Drosophila melanogaster: one gene and its partners. The protein of the gene in region 2 interacts with the protein of the main gene of each other region in a pairwise test. Each region holds a gene or a part of one and is shown on either strand. Other genes may lie near its edges. The genes, in order: CG14252, Tsp42Eb and Naa20A.

Region 1 (10,874 bases), on a different chromosome or scaffold from region 2:
ATCACAAAACAAATAACGAATAATATAGAAGAATTATGAAATTGTTAATTGTTATGTTGCATATTTTAAATGGGGCTAATCTATTAAGCAAAGATTCAACAATACCAAACAAAACTAAATGCTACATTTCCATTTTATAAATTATTATATTATAATGTATTGAAATTCCTAAAGATTTGTTAAATGTACGTGTTGATTAGTGTTGCTACCGTACACTCGACTCTAAACCAAATCCAACAGCACTTAATCTTTCTCTGTCTAGTTATATCCAAATTAAATGAAAACAATACGATGAAGAACAAAATGCTGAAAATAACATCAATACAATTACGGATAGCACACGATAAAACCAAATATACAAGTTATATTGTAAAAAAACGAAATTTATGACAAATATTTCAACGGTATATTAAAAGAAATTGTAATTAAATTATACAAACCACTTAACGCGATTTCATTTTTTGGTGGCTAAAAGATCATACCAAAACAGTTATTTTTCCATTATTTATTTGCATTACATATGTATATATTTTTAAACAATCGTAAAAACATCACGCTGCAGACACTGTATGCAGTTCTCTAAATTTCCTGTATAAGAAGTTTATTGCTATTGTTAAGGTTGTCCTGTGGCAAACGCAGTAAGGTTTCCTTTGGTGTCATAGGAGGACTTTGTGGCTTCTTAGGTGCACCTCCCTTGCTGGCCTGCATCTTATTTCCCAAGGCTTCTGCGGCTGACACCAAGTTACTTTTCACCATGCGATTCGGCTTGACCAACTCGGCTAGATCGTAGTCTTTAATGGGTGGTGGCTTCTTTGCCGAGACAACTGGTTCGGGTTTCTTGACCACAGTTGGTTCACTTTTCTCAGCCTCCTTCTTGGGTTCGGAAGTCTTCAGTTGCGGAGGATCGATCTCCTCAATTATCAAACGTGTGGCAGAGGACGGAGCCACCTCACCCAGCATTGAAGTTAGCTTCTCGACGGCCTTCTTGGCAATGGCATTATCTGGCTCAAAGTCGAGGAGCTTTTTGTAAACATTTAGGGACTGAAACGGAAAGGTTTAGCCTTCAAAAAGATGAAAGTATTCAAAATTATTACCTCAAGATGTTTTCCTTCGGCATTGTGGGCCTCAGCCATTCGAAGGTGTGCCTTAATATTCATTGGATCGATCTGCAGACAGGCTTGGCAGTCCGATATGGCCGAAAAGTATTTCTTCAACTTGAGATCTGCGAATGAATCGAACAATAAATTGATAAAGAGTTTTATTATTAATATGATTACTTACGAGCGACAGCGCGATTATTGTAAGCGTGTACTGCATTCTCCGGATCGTATATTATTGAACAGTTGTACTCCTCAATGGCATTTTCATATTCCTTTGCCTTGAAGCTCTCATTGCCACGCAGTCGATGTCTTTAACAACAACAAAAATATATAAAACATATAATAAAGCATTAAGATATATCTACCTTTCAGCAAATTGCTCCTTCTCCAGCTGGCTTAGGTTCTTTAGCTGTGCTTGGAGGCGTTCATATAGAGAATCTCTTTCGCTCTGTAGCTTATCCGTGGTAACCGATTTACTGTGATTGGAAATGATTTTCTCTCTTTGCTCCTGGTCGCGTTCCTCGTTCAAATCCATGCGCAGTATCTCCTCATCGGGATCGTACTTATCCCATTTTCTGTAATCGGTGGATTTGATTCGAGCCTCCTTATTCTTGGTATTGGACGGAGATGTAGCCTTTGGCGCTGGCTTGGGTTTTTCAGTTTTACTTTCCTTCTCCAAATCGATTTTCGAAAGTTTACGCACAGATGGAAGATTCAAATTCTGCTTAACTTTCTTCAGCTCATTGAGAGCATTGTCCTTTGTTTTTATGGCGTCAGTCCAATCCTAAGGTATAAATACAGGTTAATCCATAAATATTTATTTGAAATGAAGTAGACAACCTACCAGAATGGGCTTTAGTTCGGTTTTGTCCAGGTCAGTGCTTTGCTTTATCTGTTCCTCATAGCGAAATAGCTTGCTATCCGGTTTCAGTGCCTTCAGTTTTTCCTCCGCACAGCGTTGCAAGTCCGGATAATGTCCTTCCTCGCCGGAGCGCAGGATTTGGACGATTTTCTCCATTTCGCGAGCATTTGTGCACTTTTCCACGTGGGCGAAGTCCAAATAGTGAATTGGTATGTTGTATCTTTCCAAAAGAGATTTCTTTTTTTCCTTTTCCATTTTTCGGCTTTACAATATCAAATAAATAAAGGAGCAGCTCGATGTTTTAATTCAATATTGTGTATATCGATCAAACAAACTTTTACCGGCTTGCTTGGCAACAAACATCTGTGCTCATTCGATACCCTTAAAATGCCAATGTAAGTTTAAGGTTTAGCTTGTTTTAAAAATGTTCTAAATACTTAACTGAACGTATTGAACCAAATTAAAACACTCTATTTTGAATCAACTATCGTTTCCTTATCTTCAACCCCCTTCTTGACACACCAAAGAACCAAAGATAAGTGTGCCCGCAGCACAAAAGTGTCATTTAGCAGCGTGGCTCGTATCAAGGTTCTATGGTGTAATGGTTAGCACTCTGGACTTTGAATCCAGCGATCCGAGTTCAAATCTCGGTAGAACCTGCTCGAATTAATTTTTATTTTTTTTTTTCATATAAAGATTTGATGCTTAGAAACTTTTCTTTAAAAATAAATATCACGGATAAATGTTTATTTAAAATTTTAGTGTCCAAAATAGGATAATTGTTTCGTGTTATCTGGCGGCAGTAAATGTTTTGTTTTGCGCCAGGCTGCCAACGCGGTTCTATGGTGTAATGGTTAGCACTCTGGACTTTGAATCCAGCGATCCGAGTTCAAATCTCGGTAGAACCTTTGATTTTTTTTTTAATTTCAAGTACGAAAAAAGATACGTTTAATTGGTCACTATGCTTTTTTATTTACTTCATTCTGTTTCTTCTGCAAGACACATATGATATTGTATATTTGGCGTTTTGCTTCGATTAGCAAATCATCATTCAAGACGGCTAGCTCTTTTGTTACAAATTGACTAAATTCTTCAGCAGCCTTATGCTTTTCAATGGAGGGAGATTCGAACGGCTTTGTCGATTCATCTTGGTCCAACACTTCAATAGACACCTTGCAGTGGCTAGGTTCAGTATCAGACCAAAAACAGTCTTCACTGCACGCGGGAGAGCTCGGCTGAGTTTTATTGTCAAACTGATTGACAACGGAATCGCTAGAGCTCGGTGGATGGCTGATAGGATCGGGATCCGGTTTCGGCTCCAATTCTTTGAACCAGGACGCATCGTCTTCGTAGCTGCTACTGTGCTCGGAAAATACATCCAGCTTGGTGAAATCAATAGGAGTCTGGATCTTTAAAATCTTCGAATAATGAATCCACTCGGACTTATCTCCCACCGAATCTCGCTGTGCTCTGCAATTATTGGTAATGTATTATAACAGCATAATAAGCTTATAAAGTTCTTACCTAAACGTGCGCATAAGTGATTCAATTTTGGATTTGATATCGCCCGGTAATATGCCAACACCACGCAGCTGCAGTTCATTATGCATATCCTTGTAGACATCCATTTTTTTCCTATCACTCTGTATGTGACTGGCGAACTTTTCCCACACATCAACGAATATGCATTCCTCCGCCGGCTGCCAAACTCTTCGCGCCTTTACTCTGACATTGCTGGTTTTGCCGAATCTTTTCCTAACTCTTTTGGCGTTGGGCATTTCCTCATCGTCAAAATAGTTCACAGCACTTTCATCCACGAAGACGGTTTTGAATGGTGTCTCTATAAAGAAATGAAAACCGCTTAGAATGTATACAATTTAAACTTTTATGAATTTCGAACCATATTTGATACGTTGTGCGGGATTGTTCATATAAACAGAAGAGCGCGTTTTATCTGAAATTTCGAAGTCTTTGATTAGATACATTTTCCTTGTTGGAATTCAATGGACTCTTACGAGGCGTCTTTGATGGCTGCGTATAGTCCTTCCATTCCGAATCCTTCCCCTCGTTGGCAGATGCTCTCACCACCAAAGCCATCGCATCGAAGTGCCTCCAGGTGATAGCTTGGTCTTCCTGGTCGGAGTGTAACAAACTGAAATCCCAGAGATTATCAAACCGATTCTTCATCTGAAAGTTGTGTACTGACTTGAAATACTTCCGCTTCAGGGATTCCATTTTCGACTTTATGCCTTGAACATTGATCTCTACGCCAACATCTCGAAAATAGGGCTCCAGTTCCGCATAGGTTTCTGTCAGTTTCTTGCCAGGCTCAAACAGATGCAAGTTGTGGATCCAGATGTCGATGAATCTGTCCTCTTCGGAAGCGTCCCATTTCCTTCTGCTCACTAGATGAAATTGCATAAAGTTTGAGTTTGAACTAGGGATTTCAAAACAAAGCCTAGTATCTCGGGTGTCAGGAAAACACCAAAGTATTCGACTGATTGATACCACAAAAGTCAAAGATGAGGTCTGCTATTTATTAGGTAACCTAATTTGTCTTATTTTGTTGCTAATTTCGTTATATACTTACTTTTTCAAATATACAAGCTGTGTTAATATTTGTTTACAAAAATTTAGTTGATAGTAAGACCGTTTTATGAAACCCAGAAAATTCTTGAAAACCAATGTTTAGGGTTGCCATCAAGTGCAATTTATTCATATATTTATAAAGTGTGACCATTCTGTTGAAAATACTGAATTTCAGGGCCGCATAAGCAGTTGATTTAATTTCTTCTTAACCGCCAAATTCAAAACTCCCAAAATAAATCAAAGTTTATAAGCAGTAATTAAAGAAGAGTTTTGAATAAAATTACGTAAATACATAGTTTATTTAAGTGTTTAGTGTAAGCTTTAAAACTTATTTACATGGTTGTGCAGCAGCAATACAAGTATTTTTGTGTTGGGCTTTACAAAATACATAATAGTTACACGCGTACATGAATAAATATATTACTTGTGTGTTGTGTGTTGTGTACTACTCTTGCTTTAGCAAACAATTTAAACCATGTACTAAGGACACTCAGTTTCATTATCTTCCCATGCTCAGTTTCCTTCCAGGACCATTAAGTCCCTTGATTGGATCGACTACAAAATAGATTTTTGGTTCACTTAGTGCTAGATTGATTCACTTAGGATCTAAAGGTGTGCGAACAACACAAAGTACTTGACAATCATAAGTATAGATATAGATATAGATAATACAGGTTTTAAACTTTAGATATTTCGTGGCAGATATTGTGTTGTGGACTTAAACTGTTGCCTGAAGTGATGAATGGGAGTTATTCGAACTATGCATTTTCCGATTGCTTTCTATTTTTTAGTAGGAACGTTGCAGAGCAATGCCGCAAAGCAAAAGAAGCGAGACTTACAAATAAATAAATATACAATTGCAAAAAGTAAATCGTTTACCTAAATTATGCTGGCTAACTTACACGTTTATATCACTTTTCGCAAATAATTCGTTTGATTAAATTAATTTGAGGCCTTTGCACGAATACAAATAATGGTAATAGTTACAATAACTAAATCGCATTTTTTGGTTGAAATCAATTTGAGTTCTCCCCCATTTCCAACTTCCATGTGTTCTCCTAAAAGATATTGATCTGGAACTCGCTGACGATCCCCTCAAGGAAGTTCTTCAGGCTGTGGTACGAGTGGCTGCGCCAATAGATGTTGTTGTTCACCTGCTCCAGCGCCAACTCGATGGCCGATTCCACGGCATGGAGTCCCAGTTTGCGGCAGGTAGCGGCCAAGTCCAGAAGCTGGTGCTTATGGTAGTCCTTGTTCATGTAGATGGTCAGCGATTTGATCATCTCGGACAGCGTGGAGAAGCCATCGCCATAGCTATGGTGCAATTGAACATAACTAAATTAATATATACATTCAACCTATCACACAAAGTATCACTTACTATTCGACAATCTCCTTTATGTTGCCCTGCAGAAAATCAAAGGCTATCTCATGACCAATGGCATTGGAGGCCACAGCACGGAAGGCCAAGGCGCCATCCTGTTTTAGTATGCCCGATGTTGGATTGATGGTCATGTTGAGGTACCTACAAAGTTGTTGCACATCAGTCTTTGGTCTTTGATGGATCAAACTGTTGTAGTTACTCACTTGGACAGCAGCCAGGGTTTGGTGGTGCAGCCCAGTGAGGTCAGTATCTCCTCCTTCTCGGAAGCACTCGTGGTTGTCTTGTACTGTTTGTAGGCGAAATACCATTCCGGTGACGAGCCCTCCGCCAAGGAGGTGCAGTAGATCACAGACTTGAGGTTTGGCTTAATGCTGTTGATTTATGATTGCATCGTTTTTAATAAGTTTTTGTATTGTATTTCAGTTACAAGCTTACGGATTGTTTTTGGGATCACGCATCCACTCGCGGAACTTCATCTGCGCCTTTTGGGTGCAGCGATCGTAGTTGAACTTGCAGGCAAAGTAGGCCACCAAGGCGCGGTGCTTCAGTTGCAAGTGGGACTCATTGTCCGGCTCATGCAGGCCATAATGATCAAAGGCGGGACGTACGATGAATTTCATGAAGGCCTGGTTAAACAAAATATATTATAAAACACTCTAAAATTTACTAGTTTTACTGGATTCCCTACCCTGAAAGTCTCATAGGCAGGCTCCCTCTTCAGGTTGTAGATCAGATAGTTGAGACCAGGTTTGGCGGCAATCCACAGCAGCTCATCATCCACAGCATCGAACAGCTCCATGAGGAAGGTCAATCTAAAGGCAAACGTATTTTTATGTTAATAATTTCATTTACTTGTCTTACTTCTCAAACTTACGGTATGTCGTAGGTAAGGTATTCCGCTTGCGACAGATGCAGTGCATCATCCAGCAACTGGGCCCTTGTGATCCTGGGCAATGTGCTAAAGTTCTTCTTGAGCGCCAGCCAAGAGGTCATATCGTAGTTGACACGATAGTAACCCTGCCGGTTGAGATTCAGATAGATCACGTTATCGCTGTTGCTGCTATGCGCGAAGACATTGCCCACGATGAGCTCCTCTTCGTCCTCGCTTCTCATCCAGTGGGTGGGTATGTTGTCGCCCTTGCGCAACTCATCCGTCTCGAAGGTGATGGGTATAAACCAGGTGCTCTGATCCGCAGTGTTCTTGGAGGGCAGCAGATAGCGTTCCTGGCGCAGCACGAGATCAGCACCACGGCGCTCCACATTGACTACCGGATAACCGGGCTGGGTGATCCACGAGTCCATGATCTGCTTGACACTCAGATCCTTGGGCAGAGTACCCTGTTCGTGACCATGGCGCGTGAGCATGGCCCACAGATCATCTCTGTCCATGTTTCCATAGGCGAACTTCTTTAGAAGATCACGAGTGGCCGACCGGAAGGCCACATCACCCACGATCGAATTGAGCATGCGCAGCAGAATGGTGCCCTTTGAGTAGCTGATGGGATCGAAAATCCGCCTGACATCGTTGGTGGAGCGCACATCAAAGGATATGGCATGCGAGGTGTTGTCCGCATCGTGCTCCATCGACTCCTTGAACTCCAGCATGGTCAGAGTGTCCATGCTCTGGAACTCCGGATGGGCGTGCTCCAGTGCCTTGTAGCTCATGTAGCAGGCGAAGCCTTCCTTCAGCCAGAGATCATCCCACCACTTCGGGGTCACTAGATTGCCGAACCACTGATGGGCCAACTCGTGTGCAATGATTCCGGCCACCACCTGCATATGTTCCGATGAGGACGCCAGCTGCAGATCCTCGGGCACCAGTAGCGCCGAATCGCGGAACGTTATGAGTCCCCAGTTTTCCATGGCAGCGAATCCAAAGTCCGGCACGGACACCAAATCAATTTTGGGCAGCTTATTCTTGATACCGAAGAAGTCCTCGTAGTAGGGCAAGAATTTTCGCACCATCTTGTACGCATAGTGAGTCATACCCACAAACTGGGGTCGCGTCCAGATCTCCACTCGCGGCGTCAACCCACTGTCCTGACTGGCAAGCCGCGAATCCACCATGTTGGACACGATGAAAGCCACCAGGTAAGTGGGCATCTTCGGCGTGGTCTCGAAATCGTCTCTTATGAAACCACGGCGGAAGCGACGGCTGCCCGACTTGGGCATGTTGGAAAGGGCCATCTTGAACTGCATGGGTCTGACGATGCTGATCGAGAAGTTGGCTTTCATGTCCGGACGATCGAAGCAGGGAAAGGCGCGACGGGCATCGACGGGCGAGAACTGAGTGCTTATCATCCATCTAAAAGTAAGGGGAACTTTAGAAGGGGAACTTTCGTGGACATGTGGTTCTGGACTTACTCTTCATTCTTGGTGTCCGGATTGGTGTAGCTGGTCTTGTAGATGCCCTGCAGTGTATCCGTTACCTGGCTGACGAAATCCAGACTTAGCAGCACTCTCAGCTGGGTCTCCACCGCCAAAGTCTTGCTCAAATTGATCACGAACGTGGCATTATCCTCCCCGTAGTCGCTGTCGAAATCCAAGTCTTGCTCCTCGCTGGCATTGCTGGCGCCATCTGCAAGGGCACGGATCACCCGGACATTGGAGATGCTCACGTTGTGCACGTCGAGCACGATGGGCTCCCAGCTGGTCACCTTGGACACATCCCGTTCGATCTCGATGGTCAGGCTGCCGTTGCTGATAGATGTTGCCACACTTGGCTCAATCAAAAGGCTGCAAGAGGAGGAGTATCATATAGTTGAGAAGGTATCATATAAATAGATTCAAATAGGGAAATGCTCTGCATTTGCAGGTGAAATGCAAATGTTGGCCAAAAACGCCAGGTCGCTGCCATCAAAAGTGCCAATCAATCAATCGCCAGCCAAGAGGGCAAATTAGAGGGGACCGACCACAAACAAACATATGTTTGGCACCCATCCGTCGCCATTCGGGGGCATTGCAGTCTGCCTCGAACTTCGGACGCCGCCATTAGTTCGGAATGGCGGCAAATGAAATGCATGCCATCAAAAGCCGCATCGGCGATCAAATCAAAGCAAACAAGAAGCGCAATAATTGGCTAGCTGGCTACCACAAATATGCAATGCTCTATGGTTGCTTAACTTTTCTATATTTAACACACCTATCGTCAATTATTGATCAAGTTCGTTTGAAGAACCTAATGTAAGTGGTATTTAAGTACAGTGATTTGCAATAAAACATACTTCAGAAGACGACGTAACAATAATTGTCATTTCTCGAAATTATTTTAAATACATAAAGTATCTTCAAAAAGTTGACTAACCCCTGGCTACGAGAGTACTTCACAAAGATTGAATATCAATTCCCCTGGCTCATTCGTTCACACACGAATGCCAAGAATGCCGCAAACCCGCTGGCAGATGCAGCCAGCCAGTTGGAGCCCCCATCCATCGCCTCGAACTCCAATACCGAGTCCTCCAACCCAACCCCTTGACAAACTGGAATCCCCTGGGTGCGGGCTTTGCGCCTAGTTGCAATTAATTGAGCCGATTGGCTTACAATGCGTGTTCTGGGGGCAACCAGGAAGCGAGCTTTCAGATAGTATCTGCCACACAGACGAAGATACGGATACAGAGATACAGCTGGTCAACACTGTTGTGCGCTTTGATCGGCAGCTGCAAAATCACTTGCCATCGATCCGTTCGAGTGGCAAAACTGTGCTGCACTTGCCGCCATCCATCAAGAATCGACTCCATCCACCGGATTGCCCTGGACTTTCCCCACATCTGGAGTTTTTTTTTTGTTTTTTTTAGGCTGCGTGCGGTGCACAAATTAATGCCCAGCTTGGGCTTTCTGTGTCAATTATATTAATGCATGCGGCTACCGGGGTGCCGCGCATCTTCATTGAGCAAAGTATCTTTCTATCTTCGTATCTTTCTATCTGGCCATCTATTTGGCGCATTATGTCAGTCGATTGTCGGCGTGCCTCAATTCTTTTCTTAGATCTCTGCCGCCTCTTCTGCGAAGTGTGACCGATGGATGGATGGCATAGGCCTAACCGATTTCCCACTGACTATTCATCTCCTTGGCTCCTAACTGGCCATCTCCTGCGGTGGCCTAAACAAGTTGTTAGCCCGACTGCAAGTGGCTGGCTGGTGGGCTCTCCATTTTGGTACACGGCGACTACTGAACTGCAACGGCTCAATCCTTGACCCACTTCCTTACATAGAAATAGAAAAGTAAATGTGTACTCGCGAGCACAGAAAAGTGACGTCAATGGGGCTGATTTGGTTTGGGGTGGATGCCAGTGGAGTAGTTGCCAAGGATAAGGATAAGGGCTCGGCGGCTGTGTGTGCGTATTTATGAGATGGGCTTCGAATAAGTTTACTCCATTAGCATGTATTTCCCATTTAATAGCACACCCTTTGGAAAACTTTTGTACAACTACTGCTAAGTTTATTTCAATCCTGTTTTCAGCATTGCTATAAGTTTCTACCCCCTGGAATAAAAATGTGATGCTAGTTTACAAATTTCTGAACAAATCTTTAATTGCCTATAATTTCTTAAATAAAATGCATTATCACCAGTTGATAGGCCGTAATTGCCTTGTCTAAACTTTTGATGGTTTAATCCCAATTATCTCTCGTTAAACGTTTAAGTTATTAAACTAATATCTTAGCTTGTCAAAACACATATTGATCAAAACGTTTAAGCTAGACTAATTAATCCAGTTTTCTATCAAGTGTCAGCGTGATAAGAATAAGATCAATTCCGGCATTTGCAATGGCAGCAAAAAAAAAAAACCGGAAATTGTGGAGAATTTAAGTGAGCAATTTAGATGTCAACTGCATCTTCGCTGAAATTGAAAGGCGAGCATGCAAAGCAATTTCAGCAGAATGAGTTTCTTTTGGCGCGTGTTTGGTTTAATATTCATTAAGAGCAATTGTTGGTCAGTGAT
Region 2 (10,309 bases):
TTGGCAACTATTGGGGTTTCCACGGCGGAATAATTTCCCATTGACATTCACAAAACGGCTATGTGCCCTTCATAGATAAAATAGCTCAATGGAGATAAGATTTCGTCTGAGCCCTAAAAAGCTAACTAACTAAATATAGTCTTCTGATAGGTTAGTTCTACGGAAATATGTCAATAGAGCCAATGATTGATAATGATCTGTAATCAAAGTGTACTTGTTGGTTTCGGCCAACTCTATTTATACTTATTACTTTGCAGATTAAAACGTTATCGCGAATGGCCGAAATCCTCCCGTGGCAATTTAGAAAAATAGGTGCTTTAGGGATTAAGTCGAATTGCAAACAATGTAAGCTTTCCCATTAAGACAAAGACTGAACTCTTTTCGTAAATTGTAAATAAATTTCTCCGTTTATTGCAATCTCCAGGAGTATAAGTTATTTTGTACAGTTAAACATATTAGCACATTCAGTGTAACTTTGAACAAACGATCTTACAAAAGTGATCGTTACGCATTCGTCATTGGATTTGCTGCATTTGCTGCTTACGCTTGAGATTATGCAAATTTGAATGGCCATCTGTATCAGGTAAATATTCGTAAAATTGGGCAACATAATTCGTACTTTCGGTTTCAATTAAAATTAGTGCAAGGCCTTAGTCCTTTGTCGATTAATATTCCGCACGGCGTCTATAGTTCCGAATGCTGTTCGCCAAGCAACAGGCGAAAACGAATCCCACAAACTGAAAGCAAACAGAGTATGGTATATTGGAAGATATACATGTAGGTGTAAATCTCATAACGCTTATGGTAAAATAACAAACTAAACTGCATTGCTACGAATTATGATTTACATTACTTAGTACTTTTTGGTTATCCCCAAGAAATCACAATGGAAGGTAGGTAACATGAACCCATCCATCATATTTTCGAAATTCACATGGGGAAGCACCTAGATTCGATGATCGATTTCGTTCGATTGCGTTACTCTGGACAATAACTTACTTCGATGGCGGCGATGACCAGACCGGCATACTTGATGATGTCGCTGTTCCTGTCCCAGAACTCAACGAAGGTGACCTTGCATCCCCGCCGGTAGACGGTCTCCCAGCGGCAGTTGTTGGTGTCGCTGCAGCAGGAGGGAGGGAACTTGCCCTGGTAGGCGTAGTCGGTGTAGCCACTGCGTCCGCAGCATTTCATCTGCGGGAGCGGCAGAAAGTCAGTTGAAGGCGGGTCACATGTCCTTGGAAGTCCCTAAATACTTACGCTGATCTGAATCGCGTCCATGTAGTCGGAACGACTGGTGCGATGGTTCCAGGCCTTCTCGACCACGTCGCCCATGATCTCCAGGTACTTGTCCTTCTGCACCCACATGTAGATCACCAAAGCCAGTTGGCCAATCATCAGGACGAACAGCAAGATCGAGTACTGCCACAAAGAATACATTTTGAATTGCAAGATGAATGGCACGATGCAGGATCAGTACTCTACCGTCATGGACATGCAGTAGGATTCCCGAATGGCTCCGCAGCAGCCGAACCAGGAAATCAGCAGGATGATGGTGCCCAGGATGATCATCGTTACGGGCACCTGCTGGGTTCGCAGGGCTTCCGCGAAGTCATCCATGTTACGGACTTTGCTGAACAGCAGAGCTCCGAATACGATCAGCAATATGCCGCATATCTGAGGAAGGGAAATGTTGAGTTTATCAATCCTGAGCCAACCAGGGTTGTCTAATCTAACTAAACTTGAATTCTCAAGCCCTCAGATTTTGACAGAAATTGGTCAAAAACAATCACTTCATATCCGTTTTATATTGGACTTACTAATCATGTAATAAATTAATACAGTTCTAAGTTATTTATGATTTAATTTGATCAAATGATTTGACAAGATTTGCGATACCAAATCGCCTGAAGAATATTCATCCATATAAATGCTGGCTGGGATATCATTAGCTTTTTTGTTTCATTAAAAAGCTTGTAGGCGTTAAAAGCTCATGCCTGTTGTTCGACAAATAATATGCACTGCGAGAAACTGGAACTACTTCCAGGGACATGCATTTCAATATTTGCGATATGGCGAAATCACCTGCTTTATTATTAAAACTACTTTCTATTATTGCCCAGTTCTTCGGCGATTTTCGTTTATAGAGTTTCAGATTGGCTATTTGCATGGCTATCACAAGCTTATCTCTTATCAATCCGATTCGCTTCGTTAATTAAGATTATGCATAAAAGCGCCTGGCCATCGACGATAACTATTAAAAACATATTTACTTTGGCTTTGATTGTATCAGTTGACGTAGTCATTAGATTAGATCCACCCCCAGCCAAACTATAGTTCATAAATTCGTAGGATTGCGCCAAACTGCAGCATGACTCAGCCGCCGAGCTCAGCGGTTCGTGGGATCAGAATAGTTAGCATCGCATCCGATCAGAAGAGAGCGACATTTCGACACTGGTCCACAATTATAATAATAACCAGTCCACCCACTCGCATTCGTCTGGCATTTCTAGATCGCCCTCCCTCGGAAAATTGAGTTCAAGTGTACCGCCAACGACCCCCGTGTTTCCATTCCATGATGTGCGTGTGTAGATGATATTTCGTTGTTTCCGAGTTTTGGCTCGTCGTCTCACAATGGGAGCAAGTTCACATTAAATTAAGTCAACTATTTTTGGGTGAGACCCCCTTCCCCCCCCCCCCCCCCCTCTTGAACCATTACACAACTTTCCACTGAAGTGGCGGCAGACTTTACACACAGACAAAATATTTGTATGTTTCCATGTTGGTTCTTAAGTTAATTGCAGCTACTTTAAATTATCAAAAAGGTTGGAGAACTGCGGATTGGAACTCTTGAACAAATCAAATGACCTATTTCAAGTAGATAGGTCATCCATCTCGTTTACCGATTTCCCATCAACAAAAAATGGTTTTGTTTTGTAAATTTTCTATATCCGTATACTGCATACGATTGAAGAATTAGCGCCGTGTGCTGATGTTTTTCCGCCCGTAGTGAATGACATCCATGTTTGCGTGACGCGAATAATGCGCTGGTACTCCGACGCAGTCAGATTTCCCACCAGCAGCAAGTCAGGGTCCCAGCCCCAAACTGGTTGGACGAAGTACAGTTCCACTCCCCGCGACATCGAAGCGGCTCAGATCGGACAGCATGATCGAGCCCAACACGATCAGTAGGATGCCAACGATCTGGAAGTATTCGGAGTATTACTAGAAGGCATCTCTGGTTGCCTAACAGTTTTATGGTCATAAGCATACCACATTATAATGAATGTTTTATGGACTTCTAATTATCCGGGAATATCTATGTACTGAAAACTTGTCCGCAAACTGGACTAAGATATGAGCTTTTAAAATAGCCTTCAGGATGTCGGTGACCAAGATTTACTTAAATTTCTTCATTTGATTCTTTAAGTTGACAAAGTGATTAACAAAGTGAATAATCAAGTCTTATACTTGCATACAAATTAATGAAATTCACAATCAGACGGATATGGCTAGTTTAAAAACGTAGCTGATAAAAAAAACAAACGTTAATCACCTTTATCTTGTTTTTGGCATAATTCTTAAGGTGAAAAATGTATCTTTTAGCTGCGTTAATACTGCGAGTAACTACACATTTATTTGGATAAATAATAAATCATTTGTAAATAATAGTTTGTTGTATTTCCTTAGTTTATTCTCTAAATGATCTTTTATTCACTCCAACTTAGCCTTGCTAAAATGTGAACTTGTGTGCATGTGTGCCCCCTTTGAAGCTCATTTTGGGCTCATTACTTATATTACAAAACACTGATAATGTCAATCAACTGATAAAATTCTGTATGTCCGTCCACACTTGCATTACAGATAGATATTATTATCTATGCCAGCACATTTATATGAATAATAGTGTTAAACCTTGTGACTCAAAGACAATCGAAAGGAAGCGACCGATGCGTAATTTATGGATTTTCAAATTTCATTTCACTTGTTTTAAATAATACATGTTCGATATTTGTTGCACAAATATTTATTGCATATGACTTGATTAATGAATGACAGAAGTCAGCTAGAAGGTCTTATATGCAAATAAATAAACATCTACAGTTTGATAAATAAATTAACATAATTAATGGACATTTTTTGGAAGTTCATTATAACACAAGTAATTGGAGAGTATGAAGTTATCCATAATTGGAACCTATTTGGGATCTGCACCCAGTAGTGTTTGGTCTATTGTTACACGTCTCATTACATTATTAATTCCTTTTACTTAGATACTCAACCGACAAGCACTTACCAAAAACACGATATTGACAATATATAAAATAAAGTTGACTATTCCCGATAGACAACCCATTTTGAAAGTATATAGTTTGCTCCTGTATTTAGTAGAATTAAATAAACACTATTGTTTTATCCAAAGGAGTTGTCGGTGTCTCTGATTTTATCGCGCACTCGCGTCGTTTACTGTCGTTCGATTGGACTGCTCCTCCAGATGGGCTACTGTTTTTAAATTGGCCAACAGACACGGGCGCTATCGGAGGAAAGATACGCAAGTGCCTGTTATCATAATCATGGCCGAAACGAAAAATAGATAATGGGCACTGGGCGGCGGGCGGAGATCGATAGCCATTGCCATATGGAGGTGATTCACCACTACTGAGGGCATTCGATCTCGGAAACGCGGCACTCGGCTAACAGGCCGATAAGGACATACTTTTTGGAAAAACATCAACCTGTCTTGATTAGATAGACGGCAGCCAGAGGTAGACAGCGAATAAGCAATAATATTTCATTGGGCTTAACCTATTCTGGTTTATTTACGGTGAGTGAGTGAGTGAGGAATTCGTGTGTTGGATTTATGCTATGAACTGGGCTACGTCTAAGGATTGTATCTGACTTCGGCTCTAGCGCTTCCTCATCGCGCTGGCCAGGCAGCACGACATGATGAAGATGCCCAGCTCGAAGAGGGCGATGATCAGACTGCTCCATCGAATCAGGTCCGTATTGGAGGCCCAGAAATCGACGAACTCCTGCCGGCAGCCAGGTCGCTGGCTGTAGATCTCCGCTTCGCACACCTTGGTGCGATCCTTGTAGCCGCAGCAGGAGCTGGGCACGGTTTCATACTGTTGGTATCCCGTGTTGCCACAGCAAGAGAACTGCAATGGAATAGATACGTAAATATCCGGAAAAAACTAATGACATCTGATGGTGAATTTCGATAAACTTACGGCCAACTGGAGGGCATCCATGGGGTATCCCTGGGCGGCATTGTTCTCATCCCACGCCTTGTCCACTGCCTTGCCCATGCTGGACAGGAACTTGTCGTTGGCCGCGAAGATCCAGATGGAGAGGGCCAGTTGCAGGCCGAACAGAATCAGCATGCAGATGGCGTACTGAAAGGAATGCCAAGTCATTTAGAATCCAATTTCGGTCAGTGGGTGATTTCCGAGTGCTTACGATGGTGGTGCAGCAGGCGTTCTCGCGAATGGTGCCGCAGCATCCGAAGAAGGCCACTACGAAGGTGACACTTCCGATGACGATAATGCAGATCGGGATGGTCTGGGTGTTAACGCCTCCGTCGAAGGCCGTAAAGTTGCCCATCGTGGAGAGCATGATGGAGCCCACCACAATGAGCAGGATGCCACCGGCCACGAACACCAGGTTGAGCAAGTACAGCAGGTACTTGAACATCGCGGATAGACAGTTCATGGTGCTGGGTTCTGTTCGGGTTTCTCGTTGGCTAGCTGGATAATCCGTTCGTTCGATGTGACGATGTTCGTCTAACTGAATGGGCCCTCGGACAGAACGCGGCTATTAAAGCTTACTCGGAGTCCTCATCTTATCGGCTGCGCTCTTATCTCGGCCATAAAATTCCGTATGTACTTGTGCTGGAAGCTCCGATGCCCATGTACTTGTACTTGGTGAATCGCTTTGCACCCACGAGATACCAGATCATTGTGGTGGTCCGAACCTGGGAAATTACATCCTTGGCGCAATGATTCATTCAACGAATGGTAGGTGCAAACTGCTGGTGGCGGAATTTTATCTAGCCCTCGTGCGATTCCATCTTGGGGGCGTTAGATCGTTCATAAGATGAATCATTCACACCCTCCACACCTTGCCTTATCACCAGTCAAGAGTACGCGGTGCACGCTGACTCACATATTACGTTGCTTGGAGTCCGTTTCCCCGTGAGTCCCCGATCTTATCGCCTAGATTTATGTACTATCAATCGAGCAATAAACCTTTTAGCGAGTGCACTCCCAGCCTAACTTCAACAAGATTTTGGCAACTATTGGGGTTTCCACGGCGGAATAATTTCCCATTGACATTCACAAAACGGCTATGTGCCCTTCATAGATAAAATAGCTCAATGGAGATAAGATTTCGTCTGAGCCCTAAAAAGCTAACTAACTAAATATAGTCTTCTGATAGGTTAGTTCTACGGAAATATGTCAATAGAGCCAATGATTGATAATGATCTGTAATCAAAGTGTACTTGTTGGTTTCGGCCAACTCTATTTATACTTATTACTTTGCAGATTAAAACGTTATCGCGAATGGCCGAAATCCTCCCGTGGCAATTTAGAAAAATAGGTGCTTTAGGGATTAAGTCGAATTGCAAACAATGTAAGCTTTCCCATTAAGACAAAGACTGAACTCTTTTCGTAAATTGTAAATAAATTTCTCCGTTTATTGCAATCTCCAGGAGTATAAGTTATTTTGTACAGTTAAACATATTAGCACATTCAGTGTAACTTTGAACAAACGATCTTACAAAAGTGATCGTTACGCATTCGTCATTGGATTTGCTGCATTTGCTGCTTACGCTTGAGATTATGCAAATTTGAATGGCCATCTGTATCAGGTAAATATTCGTAAAATTGGGCAACATAATTCGTACTTTCGGTTTCAATTAAAATTAGTGCAAGGCCTTAGTCCTTTGTCGATTAATATTCCGCACGGCGTCTATAGTTCCGAATGCTGTTCGCCAAGCAACAGGCGAAAACGAATCCCACAAACTGAAAGCAAACAGAGTATGGTATATTGGAAGAATATACATGTAGGTGTAAATCTCATAACGCTTATGGTAAAATAACAAACTAAACTGCATTGCTACGAATTATGATTTACATTACTTAGTACTTTTTGGTTATCCCCAAGAAATCACAATGGAAGGTAGGTAACATGAACCCATCCATCATATTTTCGAAATTCACATGGGGAAGCACCTAGATTCGATGATCGATTTCGTTCGATTGCGTTACTCTGGACAATAACTTACTTCGATGGCGGCGATGACCAGACCGGCATACTTGATGATGTCGCTGTTCCTGTCCCAGAACTCAACGAAGGTGACCTTGCATCCCCGCCGGTAGACGGTCTCCCAGCGGCAGTTGTTGGTGTCGCTGCAGCAGGAGGGAGGGAACTTGCCCTGGTAGGCGTAGTCGGTGTAGCCACTGCGTCCGCAGCATTTCATCTGCGGGAGCGGCAGAAAGTCAGTTGAAGGCGGGTCACATGTCCTTGGAAGTCCCTAAATACTTACGCTGATCTGAATCGCGTCCATGTAGTCGGAACGACTGGTGCGATGGTTCCAGGCCTTCTCGACCACGTCGCCCATGATCTCCAGGTACTTGTCCTTCTGCACCCACATGTAGATCACCAAAGCCAGTTGGCCAATCATCAGGACGAACAGCAAGATCGAGTACTGCCACAAAGAATACATTTTGAATTGCAAGATGAATGGCACGATGCAGGATCAGTACTCTACCGTCATGGACATGCAGTAGGATTCCCGAATGGCTCCGCAGCAGCCGAACCAGGAAATCAGCAGGATGATGGTGCCCAGGATGATCATCGTTACGGGCACCTGCTGGGTTCGCAGGGCTTCCGCGAAGTCATCCATGTTACGGACTTTGCTGAACAGCAGAGCTCCGAATACGATCAGCAATATGCCGCATATCTGAGGAAGGGAAATGTTGAGTTTATCAATCCTGAGCCAACCAGGGTTGTCTAATCTAACTAAACTTGAATTCTCAAGCCCTCAGATTTTGACAGAAATTGGTCAAAAACAATCACTTCATATCCGTTTTATATTGGACTTACTAATCATGTAATAAATTAATACAGTTCTAAGTTATTTATGATTTAATTTGATCAAATGATTTGACAAGATTTGCGATACCAAATCGCCTGAAGAATATTCATCCATATAAATGCTGGCTGGGATATCATTAGCTTTTTTGTTTCATTAAAAAGCTTGTAGGCGTTAAAAGCTCATGCCTGTTGTTCGACAAATAATATGCACTGCGAGAAACTGGAACTACTTCCAGGGACATGCATTTCAATATTTGCGATATGGCGAAATCACCTGCTTTATTATTAAAACTACTTTCTATTATTGCCCAGTTCTTCGGCGATTTTCGTTTATAGAGTTTCAGATTGGCTATTTGCATGGCTATCACAAGCTTATCTCTTATCAATCCGATTCGCTTCGTTAATTAAGATTATGCATAAAAGCGCCTGGCCATCGACGATAACTATTAAAAACATATTTACTTTGGCTTTGATTGTATCAGTTGACGTAGTCATTAGATTAGATCCACCCCCAGCCAAACTATAGTTCATAAATTCGTAGGATTGCGCCAAACTGCAGCATGACTCAGCCGCCGAGCTCAGCGGTTCGTGGGATCAGAATAGTTAGCATCGCATCCGATCAGAAGAGAGCGACATTTCGACACTGGTCCACAATTATAATAATAACCAGTCCACCCACTCGCATTCGTCTGGCATTTCTAGATCGCCCTCCCTCGGAAAATTGAGTTCAAGTGTACCGCCAACGACCCCCGTGTTTCCATTCCATGATGTGCGTGTGTAGATGATATTTCGTTGTTTCCGAGTTTTGGCTCGTCGTCTCACAATGGGAGCAAGTTCACATTAAATTAAGTCAACTATTTTTGGGTGAGACCCCCTTCCCCCCCCCCCCCCCCCTCTTGAACCATTACACAACTTTCCACTGAAGTGGCGGCAGACTTTACACACAGACAAAATATTTGTATGTTTCCATGTTGGTTCTTAAGTTAATTGCAGCTACTTTAAATTATCAAAAAGGTTGGAGAACTGCGGATTGGAACTCTTGAACAAATCAAATGACCTATTTCAAGTAGATAGGTCATCCATCTCGTTTACCGATTTCCCATCAACAAAAAATGGTTTTGTTTTGTAAATTTTCTATATCCGTATACTGCATACGATTGAAGAATTAGCGCCGTGTGCTGATGTTTTTCCGCCCGTAGTGAATGACATCCATGTTTGCGTGACGCGAATAATGCGCTGGTACTCCGACGCAGTCAGATTTCCCACCAGCAGCAAGTCAGGGTCCCAGCCCCAAACTGGTTGGACGAAGTACAGTTCCACCTGGCGGTGCAGTGACTTTGGGGCAGTGAGTTAGAAGTTGCAAAACCATATCGAAATGCCACCGTTGCTGGCGTTTCAATGATTGTTTGGTTGCCATTTGGAACCAGTTAACCTCGGACTGACTCCGACTAATGGGATGCATGTTTGTGGATGTGGGGCTCGGTTGTGGGGACCGAAACAACACAAACTGGTTTTGGGACTCCAAAGTAAACAAAAGTGTACGTAGTGTACACAAAATTATACAGAATTTTTCGGATACCGCTACGTCACAAACGTAGCCCAATTTTAATAACTGGTTTTGGAATACTGATGATGATCTCAAGCTCTGCCCCCACTTTGCACGTACAGTGCGTTTCGTAACCGGAAAGTGATAGTGCTGACCGGAAAAGAGACACCATAAATGCTATAATAGATCCTACTTTAAGGGTCCTTAATAAACATTAATTGAGATATGTTTAATTTCATGATATGTAAATATGAAAGCCGACCTAAAGAACACAAAAATACAAAAATGCATTTAACGAGAGTGCCTTCTGTGGCTTTAAAATGTACTCATGCTCACCACTTTTGTGGGCCTCGACTTTCTCAGCCTTTCAATACTGAAAACACCAATTTTGGGAAAACCAGTTTATTCCGCACGAAAGTTATGATCTCACTGCCAGCCTAAAAGGCTGAGAAGTCGATCTAAGCTTGGCCGCTCGAAATTATGTAATCTTAAATGTATCTATGCTACTCACCGAACAGAGCAAATTAAATATAAATAGGATATATTTAACCATGGAGATTCCGCAGCTCATTTTGCCTGAGTTTTGCCAGAGATTGCTGGTGGAGATGGATGAAGAACTGCAACTGATCGTTCGGGAGACGAAAAAAATGGAATGGAATTAAG
Region 3 (10,915 bases), on a different chromosome or scaffold from region 2:
TTGAATGATTTGAAATATACAGACTAGATTACTTAACAAACATCCCTCTTACAAAACTTACAGGGCGCTGGAGCTGTGAGCGCTGCTGTTTCTGCATGCGATGCGGGGCCACCAAGCCGGAGGGTCTGCCCCAGGTGGCCGCTCTGTCCCAGGCGTCCGGAGGACCGTCGGCCAACGGGGATCGCTCAAAGGCAGCGCGCAATAAGCGCTTGAAATGGGTGCACGAGTACCGCATCGATCATGTGACGAAGATCCGGGAGCACGCCGCCATGTTCTGCGTACCATGTGCGCGAAACAAGCCCGCCAAGCGGCAGTCGGCGGCGGGTGCGGCCGGTGCGGCAGCAGTTACTCCTGTCTTGGAGGCCACTTCCGCGCAAACGGATGACAGTCCGATGCCCAGTCCCGGCCTGACAACCAACGGAGGACGCGCCCTTTCGCCAACGGCGGCACTGAGTCCAAAGGCAGCTGTGCCCGTGGCATCGCTGCCGCCCGTTCTTGAAGCGACGACGGTGACCACAAATATTGCGGGAACGATAGGCAGACGGCAGGCGGGTAATGCTGTCAATATTACAACGATGCAGTGCAGCAGCAGCAGCAGCAGCAACTTCAGCGGGAACGGAGTCACCGAGGACGCGGCGAATGTCACTGCAACGGGAACGGCTACGGCGGCCGCAGGAGCACCCGCTGCCACTCCAATAGGCATAGCTCCGCCGCCCGTTGTTGCCTGAGTGGGGGTCATACGTTATTGTGCCAAGCGTACTCTAACGGACTTATAGTAAGCGCCGGACGCGCCGCCCCTTTTACCAAGCCGCCTCCAAAGTGGTCGTAACCACAGAGCACAGCCGCCATCCCAAAAAAAGAAAATAAGAAAAAAAAAACCACACACAGATGCATAGTATTAATGAATGCGACAAGGGGAAGAGAATGGATTAAGAGTGGAGAGAGTATTTAAGGTTTTTTTTTTACTACGATTATTCTTTATTTGTCAGTACTGCATTGTATTGATTGTGTTTTATACATATATACATATAAATATTCCTATTATAGTTATGTTACTTAACTTTGCTAATGTTAACAACCAAACGACCGCATAAACACACACAAACACACACACACACATGACACGCACCCCGAACACCAAGTAGACCACGTTATGCTTAAGACTTTTTTAACGCCTAAGTTGAATAGCCTAGCACTAAGTCACAACTTCATTTGTTTCTAGTGAATTCATTTGACGCATTTTAGTTCAATTGCGCGCAATCGCCCACGCAAAAACAGATTTGTACACTTGCGTTTTTAACCGAGGAAAGAGTGCTGTCTGTCCAGCTGTCCAGCTGTCCTGGCCGTGCGGCTTTGTTCGTTTGTATTCCCGTGTCCTTGGAGGCTTGGTCCACCCGCTGGGTTGGGTCTTGTCCACGTCTGTAGGTAGGGCTAGCTGTTTCGTGTTACCGTTTGCTTTTGAATCGAAATAGTGTCTATTTCTATTTCTCAGCCAAGTCTAAGTCTAAGCCGCCACCGTGCGCACTGTGCATCTGTATTTTCTATAGACATTATATTTGATTTTAAACGTCTTATGCGCCGAATTTTTGAACATGTATGTATATGTGTGTATTTATAAGAACCACGCCCTCTAGCCCATGTAAGTAGTTAAGCACAGCCTAAGTAGTGTCTTCATGTGCGGTAGCTGCTTGTCCTTTTTTTTTTCGATTCGTTTAGTTTAGATTCGGTAGATTCGTAAGCGGGGTAGGGACTTGGCTCGGCGGTGGATCGAGGATCGGGGAGCCGGGTGCCGCTCTGCAATCGTATGGCTAAGAATGTATTATAAATGTAATTTATGCTAACACATAACCCAACAACAAACGGACCCACACACCACACACACACACAAACAAACATATATATTTATATATACATATATATATATATATATATATATATAGATATACTAGCTGTAGCTATAAGATTAAAGCACAAGAACAGATACAGATGTGGCTAGCGAGGATTAGGTAGGAGGAAGTGGAAGTGTGGAAGAACCATGTGTGAAATATTGTTAGGCAACAGTTCTAATACCGCCGCAGGATAGGTAGCTCTAAGTTTTCGATCTACTTAAGACAGAGTGGATCCACAGACGGGCCCAGCTGCAAACCTCGGCTGGAGAGAGCTGGGTAATCCACTTTATGCGAAAAGTAAATCTTAAGTCCTTCATATTAAGTGGAATTATTCTTATGTATACATACTGAAAGATTTATTTTTAAGTCGAATAAAACAGCAGCATTAATAACCTGGCCTTACCACAAACTCTACGCCACGATTTTGGGCATCAGGAGCTCCTCCAGCTCGTGGCCGTCGCGCCATGTGAGCACGGAGCAGGCCAGTTCCTGGCCATGGGCGGTCATCTTACCGTGCAGCTCGAATCCGCGCCGGATGCAGGCGACATCCTTTTGCCGCAGCCGCTTAATGGCGCACAGATCGTTGCAACTATCGCCCACATAGATCAAGCGCTCGTATCGCCCGCTGCACGTCAGCTCGTCCATCACGGAGCCCTTGCACATGTTGGAGGGGCAGAGATCGCAGTCAGTCTGCTCTTGGTAGGGCAGCACCAGCAGTTCGCCGCTCGCTTGGACGCATGCGGGATTGGTGAACACGCCGCCGGCAAAGAGGCACTCAATGGCGTACGCCTGCAGCCACTCGCCGATGAAGAAGGAGTTGGCGTCGCTGACGATGCACAGTTCGAGCTCAGGGATCCTGGCTAATTGGCGCATCACCCGCAGCATTCCAGGCACGGCTGTGAGACTGCGCACACGCTTGCCCACCGACGCGGAGTTCACCTTGTGCTCGCCATGCAGGCGCTGCAACACTTGGCTTATGAAGCTCAGCCAGCCGCACTTGGGGATCTGGTCCTGCAGCTCCTTGCGCTGACTGGTCGGCAGTAGTTGGCTCACCGCCAAATAGGAGTCCTGCTCAACGATGGTCCTGTCGAAGTCGATGGCGACTAGGGTGCGCGGTCCAGGCGAACTGGATGCGCTCAGACCGCGTCCGAAGGGCGAAAGGCAACGGCTCAACCGGAGGCTTCTCGAAATTGCAAACATTTTGGTGTGGAAAACAAACAATTTGACTTTAATATCAATGCACACACTCGTTTAAACAGTACAGTAGATATGGGTGAACAAAGCACATCAATATCGATAAGGTAGCGCCAATATCCGAAGGTGCACGAAGTCCCATGGAAGCTGGGGGGGATCTTCGTTCCATCGACCATGCGACCGACGTGTCCGTTTGGCCGACAATGTTGTAATTATAATATAATGTGTGTATTATATGTATGTATATCGCATAAGTTTTAGATATTGTCATTGAAAAATGTTGTTTCGTTTTCCGTTGCATAAAATATTTTCCAAAAAGGTTTAAATATCTAAAATACATTCATAGTTTGTGTGTGTGTGTGTGTGTTGGTAACATGCAAAAAGCTATGCAAATGCATATGGAACAGCAAAGATCAATATACATACTTGTATGGCTTCCAACAAATATGGGTGCACTATATCGCACGTACATAAGTAAGTGTATAATTTAGCTACATGGGCGAATTCATTGGCTAACTATATAAAATGAAACAATATACCATATACCACTACTGGAAACAATCAACGTATCTCTTTCAGCTTTTGGGGATTCACATATCAATGTTGCGATCGGATGAGATACTCTGTGATTATTTCTTATTCTTAAGAATTGAGTAAATATTTACTGACTGACCAAATGGAATCCGAAGTTAGTTTGTGATTAAATTACGTTTGCTTCGCGCGGAAGTTTTGATATTGTAAACCTGGCAATCAGTTTATATCCGATACGAGATCGGATTCCCAAGAGGGAACTAACTAAGCTAACTGCTTGCGTTTCAAAAATCTCAGCTTGGTGGAGGAGCTATTCAGCAATGGGACCAATTAACTTATGTTTCAACAGCGTAACCGAAGCCCAACTTCTCCAATGACCCATAGAAACATAACTTAATGCCCATATATGTATATATGTAGGACATCAATGTTGGCCAGCACTGATAAGCACTGATCAATCAATCCAAGCCTCCATTGCTTTTTGTTTAGGTGGGCGATTGCCGTTCTTTGCCAGCCGACAAGGGAGTCCAATTGTCCCGTCTCTGATGATGCCATCTCGCTCTATTTCCAGCACGCTGCACCTAAACCGTGGTCTGCACGTTCTGCACGGCCTTCGAGAGCTCCACCTTGGAAGGTATCAGATAAAATGCAGGCGTCATCGTCTCCCCGCACGGACACTTGCAGGCTGCAATAAATTAGGAGGAATGAGTGGGGGGCGGGATTATCGGCTGGTGGAGCAGCATAGCCAACCGTTGATCCAGCTAAAGTTTCCCAATTTCTGCTCGCACTTGGGACAGTACAGGCGGCCCTGGGTGTTCAGCATGATGCGGTGCATCCAGGCGATGGGCTCCACAAACAGTATGCTGCGGCAATAGTTTGGCGTGCTTTCGTGGCCGGGTGAACCGAGTGATGACTGGCGGATGCGCTCGGACAGCTGCTCCAGCATGCGAGCACCATGATGATTTTCGGCCTGATCATGTGACTGAGCCGGCAGCTTAGCTGCAGCGACTTCTTCTTTCTCCTTGGGTACCACCTCCTGCGGCGGCCTGTCACGCGGCTTGTGCTCCAGTACATGCGACTTGGAGGCGAGGACGCGGCGGCAACGACGACAGCGGAACACTATGGGCTCCGGGTTCTCGCGCGTTATATCTGGATCCGGACGGACCACGCTGTGGAAGCTTTGCGGCAGGATCTTGGCCTTGCGCATCTGCTCGCCAGCCAGGCGCAGGCGATGGATCTTGTAGCGCTGGCAGTTGGGGTCAATCTTGCAGCCCATGCGCCGGAAGAGCTTTAGTTGGCTGACAAAGCCAGCGTTTGGCTGGACGAAGCGCCGTTTGGCCTTGACCAGCTCGTAGGCGGGCAGGAAGTCCAGATTGTGTCGCTTCATCATGTAAGCGATCACAGTGGATGAGCTGCGACTGACGCCGAAGTAGCTGTTGGAAGGCACAAAGAGTCAGTGGCCAAATCGTGGGCCGGTCAGCCTAGGTAAGATGCTCACCAGTGCACAAGGACATTGCCCTGCTGGGCCAGGGCCGAGCTGATAAAGTCAACGCAGCCCTCCAGATGCTGCAGAATATCTTCGCGCGGCATGTCGGCAACTGAAACAGGGATTAACGCCAGTGAAGTTGTTGCACATTCACGAAGCTACCGATCTGTGTGCTTACTCTGTATATATTTGGTGGTCAGAAAGCTGGCCTCCAGAATGTGCTGCGGCAGCGGGACCGAATCCAGCGTGAGGATGTGGGTGATCTTGAAGGAGCGCAGCGTCTCCATGTGCGTCGCCGCGGTCAGGTTGCCTGGTGGTGTAAGGAAGGGTTGAGAAATGCATCGATCACAAGGATTAGAGCTATATGCTTACCTAGAAACAGGCCTGTGTCCACCTCGTCGATGCTGACCGGTCCGCCGTCGAAGTCCTCGCGCGTCAGCACCCCGGAGTCCTGGGCCTTGCCACCCCCCGCGGAGGACGAAGGCCACGCCTGCCGTTGAGACTGAGACTGTTCCATGGCCAGGCAACAGATACCAGCTGGAGGCAGAGGAAGAAGAAGAGCGAGGACAGGACCTAGCGTGGAAATGGAAGTGCTAGTAGTGTGACCGCGGCTGCATTGCGCGGTAACCGATTTGTGGGAAAGCTCGCTTCCAGGCTATCGATAACTTGCCATCGACCGCGGCGCATCTCTATTGCCGGCGAGTATAGCAATTTTATAGGAGCAATAAAAAGGATCGGATTAGCCGAGATTAAGTGATAAGATGACCACGTTGCGACCCTTCACCTGCGACGACCTCTTTAAGTTCAACAATGTGTGAGTACAGTGGATATCCACATGCGCATATCCGAGGCTAATACCAATACCGCCGTGTGCTCCGCCAGAAACTTTGACCCACTTACGGAGACCTACGGGCTGTCCTTCTACACCCAGTACCTGGCCAAGTGGCCGGAGTACTTTCAGCTTGCGGAGTCGCCCAGCGGACAAATAATGGGCTACAGTAAGTACTGCATTTCACTGTGTGCACGAGTTCCCCTATCAAGTGTGCTCTACATTCTCTAGTCATGGGCAAGGTGGAGGGACACCTGGACAACTGGCACGGACACGTGACTGCGCTGACCGTCTCGCCCGACTACCGGCGCCTTGGTCTGGCTGCGCTGCTCATGAGTTTCCTGGAGGACATTTCGGAGAAGTAATTCCAGCCCCAATTCGTTGGATATCAATACAGACTAAACGACTACTTTTTCTCGCCCCCAGAAAGCGAGCATACTTTGTGGATCTTTTTGTGAGGAAGAGCAACCAGGTGGCAATAAACATGTACACGAACCTTGGCTACATCATATACCGCACCATACTTGAGTACTACTCCGGCGACCAGGACGAGGATGCGTACGGTGAGAGCGCACAGAATTTGCATTGACTTCTAAGAGGCGCCTAACAATCGATGCTTTACCCACTTTGCAGACATGAGAAAGGCCTTATCCAGGGACGTCAACAAAAAGTCGGTCATACCGTACACGCAGCCTGTACGACTGGAACATATAGATATGAATTGATACGATATCAACCCAGTAGCGCCCGAAAACGCATTTATGTCTAACTAATCCCGATCCACCATTTGAAATGGGCGCGAGCGCATCACTTCGCAGCCCATTGAATTCTAGTTAATTTAGCAATGTAAATAACCCATAATCCCGTGATCTGCCCGGTGATAACATGCGATTCGATTATGACCGGATTCCCATCCCGCTTGCGAACCAATCCCCCGGCGCCAGTATTTGCGTGCATTATTTCCCAACCGAAACTAAGCCTGTAATTAAGTTACATGACCGCTCCGTTACCAAATTCAGCACAAATTCTCGATAATTCTATTGACTTTGAAATTATTTAAAGATTTCGTAAGCCGATGCGTAAATAACCACAAACACAAAGATTGTTCCACAGTTCTGAAGGTAAATAACGTAAGCAACTTGATTACTTCATCATCGTAAATGACAACCAGTATCTAACGCCAACGCTATGACCACCCATCTAGCCCGCACACGATCCTCTGACCATATCCAGTTTTTTTTTTGCAGATCACAATGCGCGAGCTGCGCAGACAAATGCGACACGATCACTAAGTGGAACGATTCGCGGCGGATGTGGGCATAGCCACAGCCATCGCCATCGCCATCGCCATGTGCTTTATCGACCGATTCCCATTTACTAATGTGCTGCTGCATAGAAAACCATTTTGAGAATAAAAAGAAAATAAACCCCCTGGCATATAAAGTTCAATCTGTATTTGATTGATTGATTGGAGGAAAGCTGACTTTCAACACACCTTATAATAATGTCCTTGTGGTGATGTCCTTTTTTTTAGTGCTAGCAGAAGGATAGAAAAGTTTTCGGGTTTATAATAAATACCCTGTATTATATGGGTAGCTTCCTAGCTCGACTCAGCAGCTCCTGCGCATTTGTTACCCCATTTGGGAACTGGGATTGTTGATTGATTGATTGTGCCAAAATACTGAGTGACCTTTTAAGTCCTGGCAACCACTGTTTGATCAATAGCTGGTTGGGTGTTTAGTTCGGTATCTGATTGATGGCCCATTCAGTGCGCAAAAAATGGCGAAGAAGGGAGGAGTCCAGCAGCTTCAGGCCGACCTCGCCTCGGATGAGGAGTTCGAGAAGTTCCTGCAGCGATCCGGATTGCTGGGTACGTTCTCGATGCGATGGTTAGCCATTAGTCCACCCAGTAATCTCGCTCTAATCCCTGAGTGCTTCAGTGCTCGATATATACTCCGAATGGTGCGGTCCCTGCCTCGGCATGGTGGGTAGCCTGCGGAAGATCAAGCTCGAGCTAGGAGGCGACAACCTGCAGTTGGCCATCGTAAGATCACACAGTCGGAAGCACCGAGGCGTAGCGCACTAACATCCCCATCTTTTCCAATATATGCCAGTGCAAGGCGGGCTCCATATCCTATCTGAAGCGATTCAACAAGAAGAGCGAGCCCACGTGGATGTTTGTCACGGTGAGTGATCCCATGGGAACATAATGCCAGGTGAATATGTATTGTCTTTCCTCTATGTTTATGTTTATGGACCATTAGAGCGGCAAGGCCATCAATATCATGTTCGGCACGGATGTGCCCAAGCTGGTGGCCATGATCACCCGAATGCTGCAGTCGACGATGGCCAAGGAAACGCACCTGAGCTACGAGATCACCGAGCTCCAGCCGATCGAGCTGGAGCAGCTGGAGGTGCGCAACAAGGCGCTGCGCCTGGCCGAGGAGATCGAGCTGGCGGAGAGCCGTCGGAAGCGGCTGGAGTACCTTCACAGCGTCACCGACTGCATCATGGCCAACCTGCCGGACATCGGGATCACGGTCTTCGGGCCACAGGTTAATCGCGACATGTTCAAGAAACTCTCGGAGCCGGCTGATCCGCTCAAGATTCAGTGCAAGGACCGCAAGGTATTTACCATTCTGCCTAGCGACATCGCCACCGTCAACTTTGCTGCGGAGAATCCACTGTCACCGGAGGTTATCGAGCAGCTCTACGACAAGGAGCTGCTGATGTGCTTCTGGAAGGTGGACGAGGTGCTCGGCACGCCACCGACCGTGCTCCGCCAATATGCCCACGAGCTGACCAAGGAGACCATTAAGCCGCCGGACGAGTTCAACGAGGAGGAGATCACCGTGCCGCCCATGATTGTGCCGCTGGAGGTGACCGTGGAGATATCTGATCCAGGTGAGACGCCTGTCATCCTTGCTAACTTGATCTATTCACGAGTTTTACTCTATTTACTCTCTGGTTAGAGCCATCAACGGAGAATAGTCAGGTGCAGCCGGACGCAGTGCATCTGGCCGAGATTAGGAGCGAAAATGTAGCGGAGGCTGAGGAAGAGACGGAGACAGAGGCGGAGGCAGGTGCGGCACCAGAGGCCAAAACTGCTCCGGTTGCAGCTAAGAGAACCAAGACTATTCGGATACCGCCGATTTGGGTGCCCAGTGACCAGCGCACCCATGCAGCGCTAATCTACACGTACTTCCGTGCCCAGACCACGACCTTCCTTCCGCCGGATCCCGTGCCGGAGCCACCGCACATCGTGATGATCTTCGACGCCTACAAGAAGAAGGATCTCGCTATTCTGCTCGAGACGTGTCGCGAGGACATTCCGCTCTATGGCTTCTTTAACGGTGACAATCCGCTGACGGCGCAATTTATAGCAAACTCCGTGGAGAAGTACAATGCCAAGCCGTATGTTCCGTAAGTGCTGCCAACGATCCACTGGCCAACGGCTGATGAGTTACATATGTAATATCTGTCTGATCTTGTGCTGTACCTTGCAGTACCGACAAGATTGTACTGAAGGTGAACAAGGTGAACAGTCCGACCATTCCCACGCTGATGGCCTACGGTCCCAGCTACGTTAGCGCCAACTCGGTGGTGGGCCACCAGGAGGCCACACAGTTCTTTCCCGCCAACTACAAGTCTGCGCTGCAGGAGGAGGAGGAACTGCACGCCGTCAAGACGGAGAAGCCCAAGAAGCGCAAGAAGGTAAGGCCGTCGCTGATTTGGGGAGAACATTCCAGCTCACTTCCGTTGATTCCGTTGCAGAATAAAAAGGGCGGCGATCCCGAGGAGAGCGGCAAGGCGGACGCCGGACCGGCGGATGCGCAGATGGAGGCGGAAGAAGCGGTGAAGACCTCGCCGGAGGAAGGCGCCTCCACCACGAGCAGTGGCGAGGACAGCTGCGAGAGTCGTCCTGCCACAGCGGATGGCGCCAATCCCGACGCTTCGCAGGCCACATAGATGCCCTAGTTCCATTCAAAAGTACTGCTCCATTCCGAAATATTATGATTATAATACTATAATATTAAATTACCCTTGACGGCAATCTTTTAAAAATTATACAGCAAATTAATGAATATTGCATATACCGTGTAAATTTTTCAATTTAAACGTAAGCTTTTATCAGAATCAATTATAATTTTAAAATCAATTATTAGGGATTGCGGTATCGTATATTATGAACCAATTCGCGTCCTATTTTACTTTCTGCCCCCCTGGGGAGATGAACACTTTAGTTGCTCTCAAATAAAAAGTAAAAACGAACACAATGCGAAAAATTTGGGTATCTGTATTTTAAACTCGATAACGCACACTGATTAGTCTGCTTGCCGTGCTATCGACTATCGTTTTACCAAGCACAGACTAATCAGCTGTTCCGCTCGTCACGAACGTGACGGTTTGTAAAATTAAATTGTATAATTGTTGTATTAAAACACTAGCTAAACGCAACTTGCTATCGACCGATGGATTCCAATCTGCGCAACGTAAGTAAAAGAGTGTGCTGAACTCCCGCTGAACCTTACTCACTGGCCACGCCTTTCAGCTCAAAGACTTTTTCACATTATACAACAAAGTGACGGAACTGTGTTTCAGCCGATGCGTGGATAATCTCAGCCAGCGCGACCTGGGCGGCCATGAGGTATGTATAAGGCTGGGGAATCCACGGAGGTATTCGTCACTAAATGCCGCTTCACACGACAGGACCTCTGTGTGGACAGGTGCGTTACCAAGTTCGCGCGCTTCAACCAGAATATGATGAAAGTTTACGTGGATGTGCAGACCACAATCAACGCCAAGCGCATGGAGGAAATGGAGGAGAACGCCCGCAAGGCCGAGCAGCAGCAGAGGGAGCAAGAGAAGGAGCGACTGAAAGAGGCGGCCGCCACGGCAGTACTTACACCTGTCCAGCCGCCTGTCGCCGGCAATCTGTCCATGTAGCAGCAGTGGCATGCAACGCCGCAGCTGCTGTTCTCGATC

The links.
Region 1: the proteins of Tsp42Eb (region 2) and CG14252 interact in a two-hybrid assay, tested with the Drosophila melanogaster proteins (one large-scale study listed by BioGRID).
Region 3: the proteins of Tsp42Eb (region 2) and Naa20A interact in a two-hybrid assay, tested with the Drosophila melanogaster proteins (one large-scale study listed by BioGRID).

Annotation. Positions count from the first base shown.
Region 1 is NT_033777.3:26,939,259-26,950,132, reverse strand, and holds CG14252 (uncharacterized protein), read right to left. Parts: upstream 4,600-10,874; 5' UTR 4,554-4,599; coding exon 4,553-4,553; intron 4,368-4,552; coding exon 4,169-4,367; intron 4,115-4,168; coding exon 3,978-4,114; intron 3,917-3,977; coding exon 3,863-3,916; intron 3,803-3,862; coding exon 3,487-3,802; intron 3,433-3,486; coding exon 2,922-3,432; 3' UTR 2,885-2,921; downstream 1-2,884. Other genes in the region: Spag1 axonemal dynein assembly factor, read right to left, coding at 580-1,041, 1,095-1,222, 1,282-1,409, 1,466-1,884, 1,945-2,217; CG46339 (uncharacterized protein), read right to left, coding at 5,610-5,865, 5,933-6,076, 6,139-6,306, 6,371-6,561, 6,624-6,747, 6,810-8,240, 8,300-8,671.
Region 2 is NT_033778.4:6,994,333-7,004,641, reverse strand, and holds Tsp42Eb (tetraspanin 42Eb), read right to left. Parts: upstream 5,795-10,309; 5' UTR 5,713-5,794; coding exon 5,461-5,712; intron 5,397-5,460; coding exon 5,232-5,396; intron 5,160-5,231; coding exon 4,908-5,159; 3' UTR 4,794-4,907; downstream 1-4,793. Other genes in the region: Tsp42Ea (tetraspanin 42Ea), read right to left, coding at 666-737, 1,000-1,194, 1,261-1,422, 1,486-1,677, 10,158-10,217.
Region 3 is NC_004354.4:19,617,912-19,628,826, reverse strand, and holds Naa20A (N(alpha)-acetyltransferase 20 A), read left to right. Parts: upstream 1-5,752; 5' UTR 5,753-5,861; coding exon 5,862-5,914; intron 5,915-5,982; coding exon 5,983-6,098; intron 6,099-6,160; coding exon 6,161-6,290; intron 6,291-6,355; coding exon 6,356-6,492; intron 6,493-6,562; coding exon 6,563-6,624; coding exon of another isoform or gene 6,625-6,654; exon of another isoform or gene 6,655-7,059; intron 7,060-7,162; exon of another isoform or gene 7,163-7,176; coding exon 7,177-7,221; 3' UTR 7,222-7,376; downstream 7,377-10,915. Other genes in the region: e(y)3 (enhancer of yellow 3), read left to right, coding at 64-728; CG14212 (uncharacterized protein), read right to left, coding at 2,301-3,089; MKP-4 (MAPK phosphatase 4), read right to left, coding at 4,196-4,299, 4,365-5,047, 5,113-5,212, 5,279-5,410, 5,473-5,617; CG14221 (uncharacterized protein), read left to right, coding at 7,709-7,799, 7,870-7,973, 8,044-8,115, 8,194-8,833, 8,902-9,352, 9,436-9,643, 9,704-9,898; Tim9b (translocase of inner membrane 9b), read left to right, coding at 10,402-10,422, 10,482-10,577, 10,640-10,876.